3 linked regions of the Rattus norvegicus genome follow. The protein of the gene in region 3 interacts with the protein of the main gene of each other region in a pairwise test. Links are inferred from orthologs where the notes say so. Each region holds a gene or a part of one and is shown on either strand. Other genes may lie near its edges.

Region 1 (4,150 bases), on a different chromosome or scaffold from region 3:
GACCACTCAGTCCAGTTTCAAAAGCCTTATTTTCGGGGTTGGGGATTTAGCTCAGTGGTAGAGCGCTTGCCTAGGAAGCACAAGGCCCTGGGTTCGGTCCCCAGCTCCGAAAAAAAGAACCAAAAAAAAAAAAAAAAGCCGTATTTTCAAGTAGGTCCCTCTCTGTCCAGTCTTCCCCTGTCTCCTCTGCCCAGACCTCGTGTCCCTCTGGAATCTTTAGTCCCACCGGGATGATTAAATTGGATGACCTTCAGAACTCCCAAAAGCCCTTGGTTTTGATGATTCATGAGATGATTTGATGTAGCGTCAGAGAATGCAAAGCACATAAATTAACTCAGAGAAAGGTAACTGGAGGGGCCTACAAACAAAACAGCCCATGTCCCCAAACAAAAACCATGGGCCCTTGGTCCCCTGTGACGCTCTGGAGAATTAAGCCCACCCAGAACAAGGCAGAGAAAACTCCACACCACTCCCCCTCCCAGCACGGACTCTCTGCTCACTGTCTGCATCATCCTCCACAATAGCAGAGTCCTCTGTACCCCACCCGCGCACACACACCAGATTGGAGGCTAAACCATCTTCTCAGTATTGCAGGCCTTTGGATAAAGGCAACTCCACCCTGCTAGCTCATCTTCTAACAGCTGTCCCGAGGTGGCTGAGGTGGCTGATGTGGGCAGCCAGCACATACAAGCCATCAAGGATCCTCCTCAGACTGAAAGGGGAACCTTTTCTCGCCAGTCAAGCACTTTTCATTCCTTTCCAATTTGCTTCATTGTTTCCTTTGCCATGCACTCTTATTTGCTCTCCTAGACTACAAGCTCAGTGACGCCCTACTGAGCAGAAGGCAGTCAGCAGGCACTTGTTGGCTGAAGCCTTGTGCTATTCATTTGGCCTTCATTTTCCTTGGGATGAAAACTTCCCTGACTTTCTAAGATTGGGCTAAATGTTCCCACAGCCAACAATATCAAATAGTATCACAACTTATTTTATACATTAATTTTCTAATACGATGAGGGGTTATGTCTTTTCCACTCGCCTGTGGTGGGATTTTAATCCAGCAACATGGCTACTCAGATTAGAACACTGACATGCCCTTAGCACACACCTTTTATCCCAAACAATGAAGGTAAAGTTAGTTTGTAGAAGGAAGCAGCCATGTGATGTCTACTTTCAAACTGAGAGGCAGACAAAGTGACGAATCAGAAAAAGATTTGATAGAATAGGATATGCCCAGCTCTCAGGAAAAGAGAAAGGAGAGAGGCAACATAAGAGGGAGCAGAGCAGAGGGAGAGGAAGGAAGGGAGCTTTACTGGGAGTTTTACAGAGGCAGGTTGAAGAGAGAACAAGTTAGACACAGGGAAAGACTGAATGAGCAGGAGCAGAAGGTTAGAACAGTTCGCTAGAGTGAGTGAGTTTGAAGCCAAGCAGAGTAATTCAGTCAGAAGCAAGAGATGCCAGTTTGAGTCAGAACAGCTGGGCGCTGAACCAGCCAGCCAGAGTTCAGAGAGAGCCAGGAAGGGTGAGCTTATTCAGCAGTAAGTCTCAGAAGCTGAAAACATTCTAGGCTTCTACAGAAGCTAGAAGTTTCTAGGATTAGTCCTAGGTTAGCAAAGCCTTTTTTTTTTTTTTTTTTTTTTTGGTTCTTTTTTTTCGGAGCTGGGGACCGAACCCAGGGCCTTGCGCTTCCTAGGCAAGCGCTCTACCACTGAGCTAAATCCCCAGCCCCAGGAACAAGCCTTCTTAAACAACCACCCCATCTCTCCAGTCCCTGATCAATATTTTATGACTACGTTTACTCTGTAAAACAAAGGATTAAAATCTAATCCGATTACCAGTCTTACTAGACAAACCTTCCAAATCTGAGTTTTCTCAAGTATAAACACTTCACAACACCTTCTGAGAAATGTCCACATCACTCAAAGACAACACATTTGGGAGGTTTTTATGGGCTTCTTTTCATACAGAACCTTTCAAAGCTTGTAAAACTTCGAACCTAGGGACATTTGGGAGTTCTTCTCGGTCTCACACAAAACGGACTTGCTTTCAAAGATCCCTTCGGATTCTATTTGACTTAGCAAAAACACAGCGCAAAACACACCCCTGTAAGAACAAAGGTGCAATTGCAATGCTTAGTAGGGATTCCTAATCCATCCAGAACTGGCTCCGTAAGATTCAAACGAGTGTGACATCCGGAACGTAGGGCTCAGAGGGGTGTTCTCGAATCTTACAGATCCCGTGCAAGAGGATTGCGGAAGCAGCGGCGTCGTTTGTTTTCCCCAGCTTGCCTGTCTTAAGGCTGCTCCTCGACCTTCCAAACAATTATCCCCAAATCCTTGCTCCAGTCACCCACCAAGTTTAGCGCCTGCACTATTTCTCTCCCGGCAAGCCATTGGGGAAAGGCTCTGGAATGAAAGAAAGCAATCCCAGATGGCTTCAGCACCAAAATTTCAGGGGAAAACCATTTCCAATGAGCGGCTCACAGCCAAGTCTACCACGCTTACCAGACAGACGCTCCCAGTTAACCACGGCCTCCAGAACCGTTGGTTCGCGGGCAAAGACGAGTGTCGCGGTGGCATCTGGGAGTTGTATTTTCTGTCGCAAACAGAGCGCGTCGGTAGCATTACAACTACATTTCCCGAAAGCCAACGCAAAGACGCCCTGCCTACTGAATCTGGGGCTTGGCTGTCACTAATTTTTAGGCTAATCTTTAATTATATCCCACTTATACTAGGAATACTACAAAGCACCTTTATTTGTTCGTTTTTTCTTGTGCGATAAACATCTCGGGGCATCCGTACTCCTTAATTTCCTTTACCCTTCTTCAAGCCAGCGCCTCCAAACGTCGAGAACGGACAACGCCGCGGAGAGCGCATGCGCCTTGGCCGGCGTCGCGCATGCGCAGCAGCCGGCCTTAGCCGGCGGCGCGCGTTGGACTCGGGGTCCGGAGGTACTCTGCCCGAGGGCGGGGCTGCTTCCAATGGCTGCCTTTGCGGGTCGCGTGTGCCTGGGCGGAGAGGCAGGCATGGGGCAGGGGCGGCTCCCGGCGGTCCCGGGCGGGGACAGGGGAGGGGCTGGGTGTGAGGACCCCGTCTCCCCTCCCTGCTCCCGCCTTCTGGGCCGAGCCCCACCGACGGGGCTGGGCGAAGGGGCGGGCTCTGTGCCTGGGGCCCTGTGCTTCAGCAGCGCAGCCCGGGGCTCGATGACTGCTGGGTCGCTGGGTGCCCTCTGGCTTGGCGGAGGTGGGCGAGGACAGAGGGGTAAGAGAAGCACGGCGTACCCCGGAAGACAGGAACCGGCAGGGTCGGCGACGCTGCCCTCTGTCGCCGCTGACACAGTGACTGGTGGGCACTGGAGTCCCCGGAGCACCGGAGCCTCAGGCCCCAGCAGCTAAGGGCCAGGGTCTACCGCCTACCCCCGCCAGCAGCCCGCCCGCTGCCCTGCCGAGGCGCTAGGAGGAGCCGACAGGGGCGGAGACTGGTGTCGGAGGAGGGCGGGGTGGGAACACTAGAAAACTGGCCGCTGCACAGACAAAAAATAAAAAAATCGAATGGCTGGAGAACCTTCTACTGTTACCAGCCTTTTGGGACCAAGCACGGATTTGACAGCTCCACAACGCGAGGATATCCGCTGACCCTGCGACACCGAGAGCACTTCCCCGAGACTCCCTGTCCAGCTAACCAGCTCTGTGAGATTGCAACTTTCCAAGTTGGTTCTTTTCCATCTCTGTCAGAAGACTGCCCTTTCGTGTGGGAGAGGGTGCCTGGGTGAACCGCCTTGTGGATCGATTTGAAAGCATCAACTTTAAAAAAGCACGTGTGATTCCCAGTGCCATCCAGACGCCTGCTTTCGTGACCGCTGGATTTTTCTGACTTTATTCTTAACCAATCTCTCTCTCAAAAAGACTGAAAAAGAAAAAGCTCACGATTGTCAGTCATGGCCGAAGGAGAGAATGAAGTGAGGTGGGAGGGTCTGTGCAGTAGAGACCCAACTACTAGAGAGACAGCACTGGAAAGCGTTAGGCAGATTGTTCTGAGAAAAACCGAGTACCTTCGTTCTGCCAAAGAGACACTTTCTCGACCTTCGGACGGGCTTTCAAATGGTGTTTCTTTGGATGGGATGAATAAACTTCTTGCCCATCTGCTTATGCTGT
Region 2 (4,063 bases), on a different chromosome or scaffold from region 3:
GGGCCCTACAATTCTCCATGGATGAGTACGCATGGTGGGGACATTTTGGGGAATGGAGAAAGGCAACAGATATGTGTCCTGCTCCAAAGCACAAGAGAGGCCCGAGGGATGCCAAAGTCAGTCCTATCTGAAACACCTAGAAAGTTTTTAAACACCTATAGGTGTCTGGTCTCAACCTGAGACCTGCTAGAGGCAGAAGGAAAAGTTACTGACGTCTGTATTTGCAACAAGTTCCATAGCTGCTGACTGTCTGGAAGTCACTTGGGGAGCCCTTAACTCTCAAACTTCCTGTCCCCTCAAATACTCTATCAACTTTGCTCTGGTCCAGGTGGACTGTATCTCAGAAGAAAAACTCATTGATATCCCTGCTCTGCACAGTCGTGCGTCCAGAATGAGGAACTTTAATAAGAGTAGGGTTCCTCCAGGAGAGGGCAGCAATGAGCTCCCCCTGCAACAGGACTTAGCCTTTCAGGGCTTCCCTACTGCTGGTCCTGGAGGATTGCTGACCAACAAGTCTGGGTGGGATTTTGTTTTGTTTACATTTTTATTTATTTGTGTGTGTGTATGTGTGTGTACACGCTACAGTGCACGCCCAGAGATCAGAGGAAAAGTCCTGGGAGTCAATTGTCTTTTTCCAATGGGCAGGTCCTCCGTCCGGGTCTAGCTCAGGCTGTCAGCCCTGGCAGTAAGTGCTTTCGCCCACTGAGCCATCTTGCCAGCCCAAATCATTCCTCTAAGTACTGATTAAGTGGACTATCCTCTGAGCCAAACTGCTGTCATCTTTAGGACCCAGCCACAGAAGATCCATCACAGCTGGGCTTGCTGACCGTTGGTGCTCCCTCATTGTAAGGGGTGGAGAGAATCAGGGGACCCTCACTTGAGTATCCAGCAACTCCTTCCAACCAGTTGGATGGAAGTCTGCCTTAGTTTCACATGACCCTAGCGTCTCTGGGAGGAGCTAGAGTATATAGATAGGGAAGGACTGGGGAGAGGTGTCCTCTGTGTAAGCATGGAAGCCATCATCTACGCTGTATACCTTCCAGTGTGGCTCCTTTAGGGTCATTCATGCTCCTGTTTGTAACTACCCATCTGTGCTTTGTTAGTAATCCTGATAAACTCATCGCTTCCTCAGGATCCCTGAGACCTTAGAAGGAAGAAGGGGAACGTTGTTTAACCCCAAATCCAAGGTAAAGATTCTTGAAGCCAGAGTTTCTTACTAGTTTCTTTGCTTCGTGGTCCTTCAATGCAATGGTTTCCCACCTTCATCTGTCCCTCACTTTCAGTGCAAGGACAAAGATGGAGGGATACAGTAGTGAGTGAGTGGACCAAGTCCCTCTGACTCACTGCTGTATCCACAAATACTCCCGTCTATCATCACAGCCATTCATCTACCCATCTGCTTGATACGCTATCCTGGACTCAGGCAAGGAAAAGGTCAACTAGAGAGCAGAGACTGGCAGGTAATGGGACAGCTCAGAGATGGTAAATAGAATATAGAAGATGCCTGGGAAAGGTCAGGAGCTACCAGACCAGGGAAAACACCTTTAATCCGGAAGGTCGGGAGCATGGAGAGCCTACGAAGTCAAGTGAGGGGGAAGAACCATTTGGTCCAGCACTGTGTAAAGTCTCCACCCACTGCAGACCACCCTACTTTGTACCTGGATGAATTGCTCGAACTTCTGGATATGGGCCTTCAGCTGCTCTTCCTTAATACCGAGTTCCTCCCAGCGCAAGTTCAGCGTTTCCATTCTTCGTTGGAACGTCTTTAGAGGATGTGAGGAGGTGAGCCGCCTGACAAGGGTGCTCAGAAAGACTCTAACATCATTTGCCCAAAGTGTTTTATCCTTTAGCCAGGAGGCTCTTGAAATGCTGATGATGTAGCTCAGTGGAAAAGCAGTCACCAGGGGTTAAATCTCTAACTCCTCAAATAAAACGTAGTTACAGAAGGACTTGTGGTTTGTGCACCCTATTCTGCACAGAGCTCCTAGTATAGTATCCCATGACCCTAGTTCCTCATATACTAGGACCACTGTTCTGTGTGGAGGGAAGAGGCTAGAACCACTAGCTAGAGCTCCAGCTCTAGCCACCTCAACCTCCAAAGTGAGGGCCCAGCATCCATTAACCTTAAGCCCCAGCTAATTCATTCCCTACCCTGTACCCCTACCCTTAACACCCCCAACTCCCCACCTCACCTCCTTCTTATGTTCCATGGCCTCCTGCATGACCTTGGCCTCTTTCTTCTTCTCCAGGAGCCGGATGGATGGAGAGTCTGACTGTTCCTCAACATTTGGGAACTTCCTGCACAAGAAGAGCAAAAGGGGGACAGGGGCCTCTGAGAGACAGGAGCAGGGTTATGTAGGGAGTAACTCGGAGATGGATGTCCATGGGAAGGAAACCTTAACGAAAGGAGCGGTGTGTTGAGGAGAGAGGGCTACATGGGCTTTTAGGGGTGAGGGAGTGATGGGGGCCCAGAGTCAGGTGGAGTTGGGTAATGGGGTAAGGAAGTGAGGAGCCCTGGGCTGTAGGAAAGGAAGGATCAGGCAGTGGAGCATCGTGTGGGTAAGAGTGGTCCCAAGCTCAGAGGCTATACCAGACACTCACTGCAGCAGTTGAAGGAGCCGCTCTCCATACTGTAGCCGGAAGTATTCGGCCAGGTCCTCCTCTTCCATCATGCCCAAACTCATGGTGGCAACTACCTAACAGCCCGGGTGGACTACTTTTTCAGAGTGAAATGGTGAGGGGCAGAGCCACAGGGCACGCAGGGGTAGTGGCTGGGTTCTCGCTCGTCTCTCCTCCTGCTTTCAAAATCCCACAAAGAGTGGGTAGCTGAGAAACCCGCTAGAGGCTGCCTAAGTATGGTGCGCTCTTGCGGTGATTGGAGATCTGGTTACCTAGCAACAAGCTGCCTAGTTCTGTAGACCTAACTGGAACCCACGATCTGCCCTCTAACCTTTGGACCCACTAGCTCCCCACTACCTCTCCCTTTTTGTTTTTTCGAGTTAGGGTTTCTCTGTGAACCCTGGTTGTCCTGGAACTCACTCTGTAGACCAAGCTGACCTCGGGCTCAGAGAGCCACCTGCTTCTGCCTCCTGAGTGCCGTGATTAAAGGCGTGTGCTACTGCCGCCCCAATAACCTCACTCCCTTGTTGAGGTGGCCTCTCTGATCACGCTGGTACCTTTCAGGAACTCTGATCTGTTACTCCCTTACCAGACAGGGAGGCAGGGTCTGCCAGAGGAGTCCGGTGTGTGAAGCTGGCTCCTGGGGCACCACTTTCCTAGAGTTAGGGGTACGTGAGAGCGAAGGAGAGATTGGGTAGCGGATGGATGGTGAAGAAGAAAAGCAGTAGGTGCTTAGATAAGCCCAGGGAGGGGGGATGAAGTGGACAGAGAAGTGTGGAAAATGCGGGAAATGAGATGCATTAGAACCAAGTAGTGGGCCTACAGGGAGTGGCCATTAGGAGTGTGGAAAAGAGCCCAGGCAAGGCAAGGCCCCTTTAACGTGAGAGTGAGTTATTAAGTACAAAGAAGATATACTTTTGAGATGAAAGTGCGGGTGAGGGGGGTAATGGAATAAGTCCCTTGTTTAAATGGTTTACTTCTGTATGGCTACCTTCCTCCATCCCTGGGGGCACATGAGGACCTATTTGACTTGAGGGTAAAGCAGTGTAAGTTTGGGGCCCTGGGTGAAACAGCACCATAGTGACCTCTGCTGGCACTAAGCCCTAATGCTGACCCCTCTTTATCCTTCCTCCCAGCGAGCTCAGATAGGATTGCTGGGGTCTCTGGCAGAAAGACAAGGACAGAGCTTGCAGGCTAAATTGTGGGGGTCACCTGGCACGCCCTGCTGGCTACTTCCACCAGCTCCCTGAATCTCTGTCATGAGGAAAAGAGTGGTTGTATGTTCTGTATCCCTGTTCTGCCCCTGTTCTAACTTCTGTTGCTCAGGGCAACAGAAAAAAAGCCCACCCACTCTGAACTCACCCATCTATCCCCACCTCACCCCACAGTCTACTGTAAACCCCTAACCTCAACTCTAGATGTAGACCCAGCGGGATGGCAATAA
Region 3 (3,562 bases):
TTATAGGCTTGGAAAAATTCAGTAATCAATGTGGCTGCCAAGAAACGTACAGAACAAGAGGGCAGAAGCTCATGTGCGAGAAATATAATCCATTGATTAGGGACACCCTTGCATTGGTTGAGTGCTTGCCGACTATGTAGAAAGCCCTAGATTCCGTCTCCAACATTACATAAAACTGAGTTCGGCAATACATGTCTATAATCTCAGCACTCAGCCAGTGGAGACGGAAGACTCTCAGAAGTTCAAGGTTACTGTCTACTACACAGGAAATTGAAGGCCAGCCTGAGCTACTAGACAGCCTGCCTCAGAGAAGATAAAAAATAAAGATATCCTTTGGGGAAGTCATAACCCTTTCAGAGTACTTATATTCATTTTTGACACAATGCATGTTTTAGATGCACTTTGACCGACAGTCGACAGTCCATAAAACAAATCTCATGATGATAAAAGCCCTTAAAAGCTGACTGAAAGGGAGCAACTTGAAGAACTAAAAAGGTTGAGTCATAAAGATGAAGAAATTTAGTAGTTACATATGAGTTACCTAAAATATCTGAGCAACTGTTATGCGAAAGATAGAATGTTTGTTAATGAGGCACAGAAAGTTTAATTAAGAAACCTCAAGCTTGAAGTCTGACAGTCACAGGTTCTGATCTCAATCCTTTCTGAGTTCTGTGTCCTTGGGAAACTCAATTAACTGCAGCACCAATTTCTTCTTGTGTGAAACTTGAATCAATTCAATCTCGGAAGGCTAAGAGCTTGTGAAGACTAAATGAGATAACAGACGTGAGAATGGCAAAGCGGAATGCACACATAGTTTACTTTTGTCCCTGTTATTTACAAAGAGAACTGGAGACCATTCATAGCTGTCCAGCAATCAAATGGACTGCTTTCATGAAAATGAACATTTCCTCACTAGCAGCATTCAAGCAGAGATAGTTACTTGTGGGTAGAGGAGAAGATTAGATCAGATACTTTCTAAGGGACAGTCCAACTCTAAGATGCTTATAACCTTGTCATTAGTAGCAACTCCTTTAGGCCTTTAATTACAAAGGATTCTGGAGCTTTGAAAACAGGTGGTAATTTTTACGTTTGTCATATCTTGAACCTGTTCTCAACTTCTGGGAAATAATTATTCTTCCCCTATCAGGAAGTTAAAGGACAGTTCCTGTTTTTGATACTGGCTTCCAGAAATTACAGTGTATACTATAAGAAGAAACCTATTAGAGCTTGTGACTTCATAATCTGAAGAAATGCCCAGGGACAAGGGGTGCATGAACCAAGCAGCTTAGACTGGAGCTGCAGGAGGCAAGTGCTTTTAAACATTTTGCTCCCTCATCTCTCCACCCCAGTACTGACAAAAAAAAAAAAAAAACCCAGAAGTTTGCCCAAGAATTGTTACCAGCTAGGAAAAGAAAGCATGAAGACGGTTTATTTGAATAAAGTCTATTCATGCTGTTCTGTGAAGAGAGACAGAAATGCAAAGTACAAAGTAAAAGAAAATATTATTTTGCAGCTTTGCCAATGCAACTGCTTGAATTCTGCTTTGATTCTCCTTGGATCCCATTGCTCCCACCCCAATGAAGTGAGGGGAACCTTTCTGCTCAATTCCTACTGACTGCAGCCAATCAGTTAAGTTCCTACTGCGCCTGGTCTTGGCTCCGGTTCACTAGGAGGTGAAACCATCCTCACATGTAGGCTGATACAGCCTTTTAAACATATGTATTTACCGTTGTGGCCCACTGATACTGCTGTTTGTTTGTTTGTTTGTTTGGGGGTTGTTGTTGTTGTTATTGTTTTGAGATAGGCCTTGAAATTATAATTCTATTGCCTGAACGTCCTGCATGTTGGGATTATCAGCATGAGCCACTGTACTTGGCTCCACCACTGCTTTTTTATTTACTGGATTTATTTGTGGAAATGAAGAAGTAGCAAAGAGAAGAATGACAGGGCAGAAGACTGACCTACATGTTCATAGACACAAATAGGTGGAATAAAAGAAGCAATGGCCTTTGAAGGGAACTTTCTCTTATCATGATAATGAAATGGAAGGAGACTGAGAGAGGGGGCAGGGGGAGGGAGATAGAGTTCACTCACGTGGAATGGTGGTGACTTAGCTACCCAGGAACAAATATTAAGCAGCACTTTCGGTCAATGGAGTGATATGGATTAAAGGAAGGCTACGGGTTACATAAACCATTAGGGATGATCCCAGCGACTACCCAGCAGGGAAATACACGACTTGCTTATCATTCATCAGTAATGTTTTACAACACCCTGGGGAGCTTACACTGTCTATGAAAGTCTATACTAAACAACCTCACATGTCTTACAAACACTTGCCTCGTGGCGCACCGGCCAGTCTTGAGCAGCTTACTGCTTCCTTACATTTCCTTATCTCTGGCCACAGGCCCCAACTACACCATGACTTACTGATGAAGTTAGCCTGGCCAGTGAATATGGTGTACTGAAGCTCATAGGAGCTGATGCTGAACTCGTCGTCTGAGATCCAGTGGACCGTAATGGTGTCATGGGAAGCAGTACAGAGTTCTTCTCGGATAGATGGTGGGTTTGGAGCTGAAAGGAGAAATGAAGACAGTGGTAAGGAAATACCTTGTCTCAGAAGTAGTAGGAGTTTTATTTTTTTCTTGTGGGTTTTTTTTTTCCCCAGACATGGGGATTAAGCCCATGCTAGAAAAGCACAGCACCATCCCTAGCTTTATAGAAATTCTCTTAAAGGACAACAACCATGCAGACTGAAGCAATGTGTTGAGACCTCAGCTCCCGCTAAGTACATCCGTGACAAATATGTAAGACTAAGTTATTGTAATGATTTCTCCAGTTTTCTAGAATGCCTTTAAAGGCACATATAGAGATAGCAAAGCAAAATACTGTTTTCTCATTTCATGGACTTCAACCTATGTTTACTTCAAAATGATTTCTCCTACGCATTTGACACTATTTAAAATGCAAATTGATAAGAATTTCCCACTGTAAAATGGGCATGGTAGTTACCTTATAGATTCGTTATGGGGAATAATGATACAAAATTAACTTACAATGTCTGGAGTGAAGCAGATAATAAGTAATAGGTGCGTTGATATAATAAGAATATAGCTATGAACAACAGAGTGATTGTGTACAGACTCTGCTGCAGAGATGACCATACGATAATCCCGAAAGTGGCCAGCATTCTGAACAAGCTGGTGTCATCCTTTACTATCTTGTTTTTCCTTCATGGATATTGATTAGTCTTTATTTCCGTCAGTTTAACAATTGTAGGCTGTCACCTCTGACAGCTATTTTTTTTATGTGAAAAATGTGTCTGGAAAACTAATCCTGAGTCCGAACAGCTCAGGGGACTCATGTGGTGCATTATAAGAAATAAATTTGATTTTTTTGATAAAGCACTTCTTTTTTTACTACTATTGAAGCCTGAACGATATGTAACACTGATCAAGATCTCTGCCAATGAGCCACAGACAGATGTCCACTTTTATGTCACATGAACTAAAACATATTGTTTCTAAAGGTACATGTGGTCTACAACCGTACCACCTGAAGC

What was found. The genes of interacting proteins can lie anywhere in the genome.
Region 1: the proteins of Mid2 (region 3) and Cep57l1 interact in binary tests that used the Homo sapiens proteins (3 or more experiments, as listed by UniProt). The two-hybrid records come from large-scale screens. The link is inferred for Rattus norvegicus from reciprocal best matches to the Homo sapiens genes MID2 and CEP57L1.
Region 2: the proteins of Mid2 (region 3) and Ccdc42 interact in binary tests that used the Homo sapiens proteins (3 or more experiments, as listed by UniProt). The two-hybrid records come from large-scale screens. The link is inferred for Rattus norvegicus from reciprocal best matches to the Homo sapiens genes MID2 and CCDC42.

The regions. Positions count from the first base shown.
Region 1 is NC_086038.1:46,873,997-46,878,146, forward strand, and holds the start of Cep57l1 (centrosomal protein CEP57L1), read right to left. Parts: upstream 2,852-4,150; 5' UTR 2,793-2,851; coding exon 2,748-2,792; exon of another isoform or gene 2,622-2,747; coding exon of another isoform or gene 2,502-2,621; intron 1-2,501. Other genes in the region: Sesn1 (sestrin-1), read left to right, coding at 3,934-4,150. UniProt on the Homo sapiens protein: Centrosomal protein which may be required for microtubule attachment to centrosomes.
Region 2 is NC_086028.1:53,787,621-53,791,683, reverse strand, and holds the start of Ccdc42 (coiled-coil domain-containing protein 42), read right to left. Parts: upstream 2,852-4,063; 5' UTR 2,685-2,851; coding exon 2,602-2,684; intron 2,299-2,601; coding exon 2,193-2,298; intron 1,764-2,192; coding exon 1,659-1,763; intron 1-1,658. UniProt on the Homo sapiens protein: Essential for male fertility. Required for sperm development.
Region 3 is NC_086039.1:109,227,299-109,230,860, reverse strand, and holds part of Mid2 (probable E3 ubiquitin-protein ligase MID2), read right to left. Parts: intron 2,575-3,562; coding exon 2,341-2,574; intron 1-2,340. UniProt on the Homo sapiens protein: E3 ubiquitin ligase that plays a role in microtubule stabilization. Mediates the 'Lys-48'-linked polyubiquitination of LRRK2 to drive its localization to microtubules and its proteasomal degradation in neurons.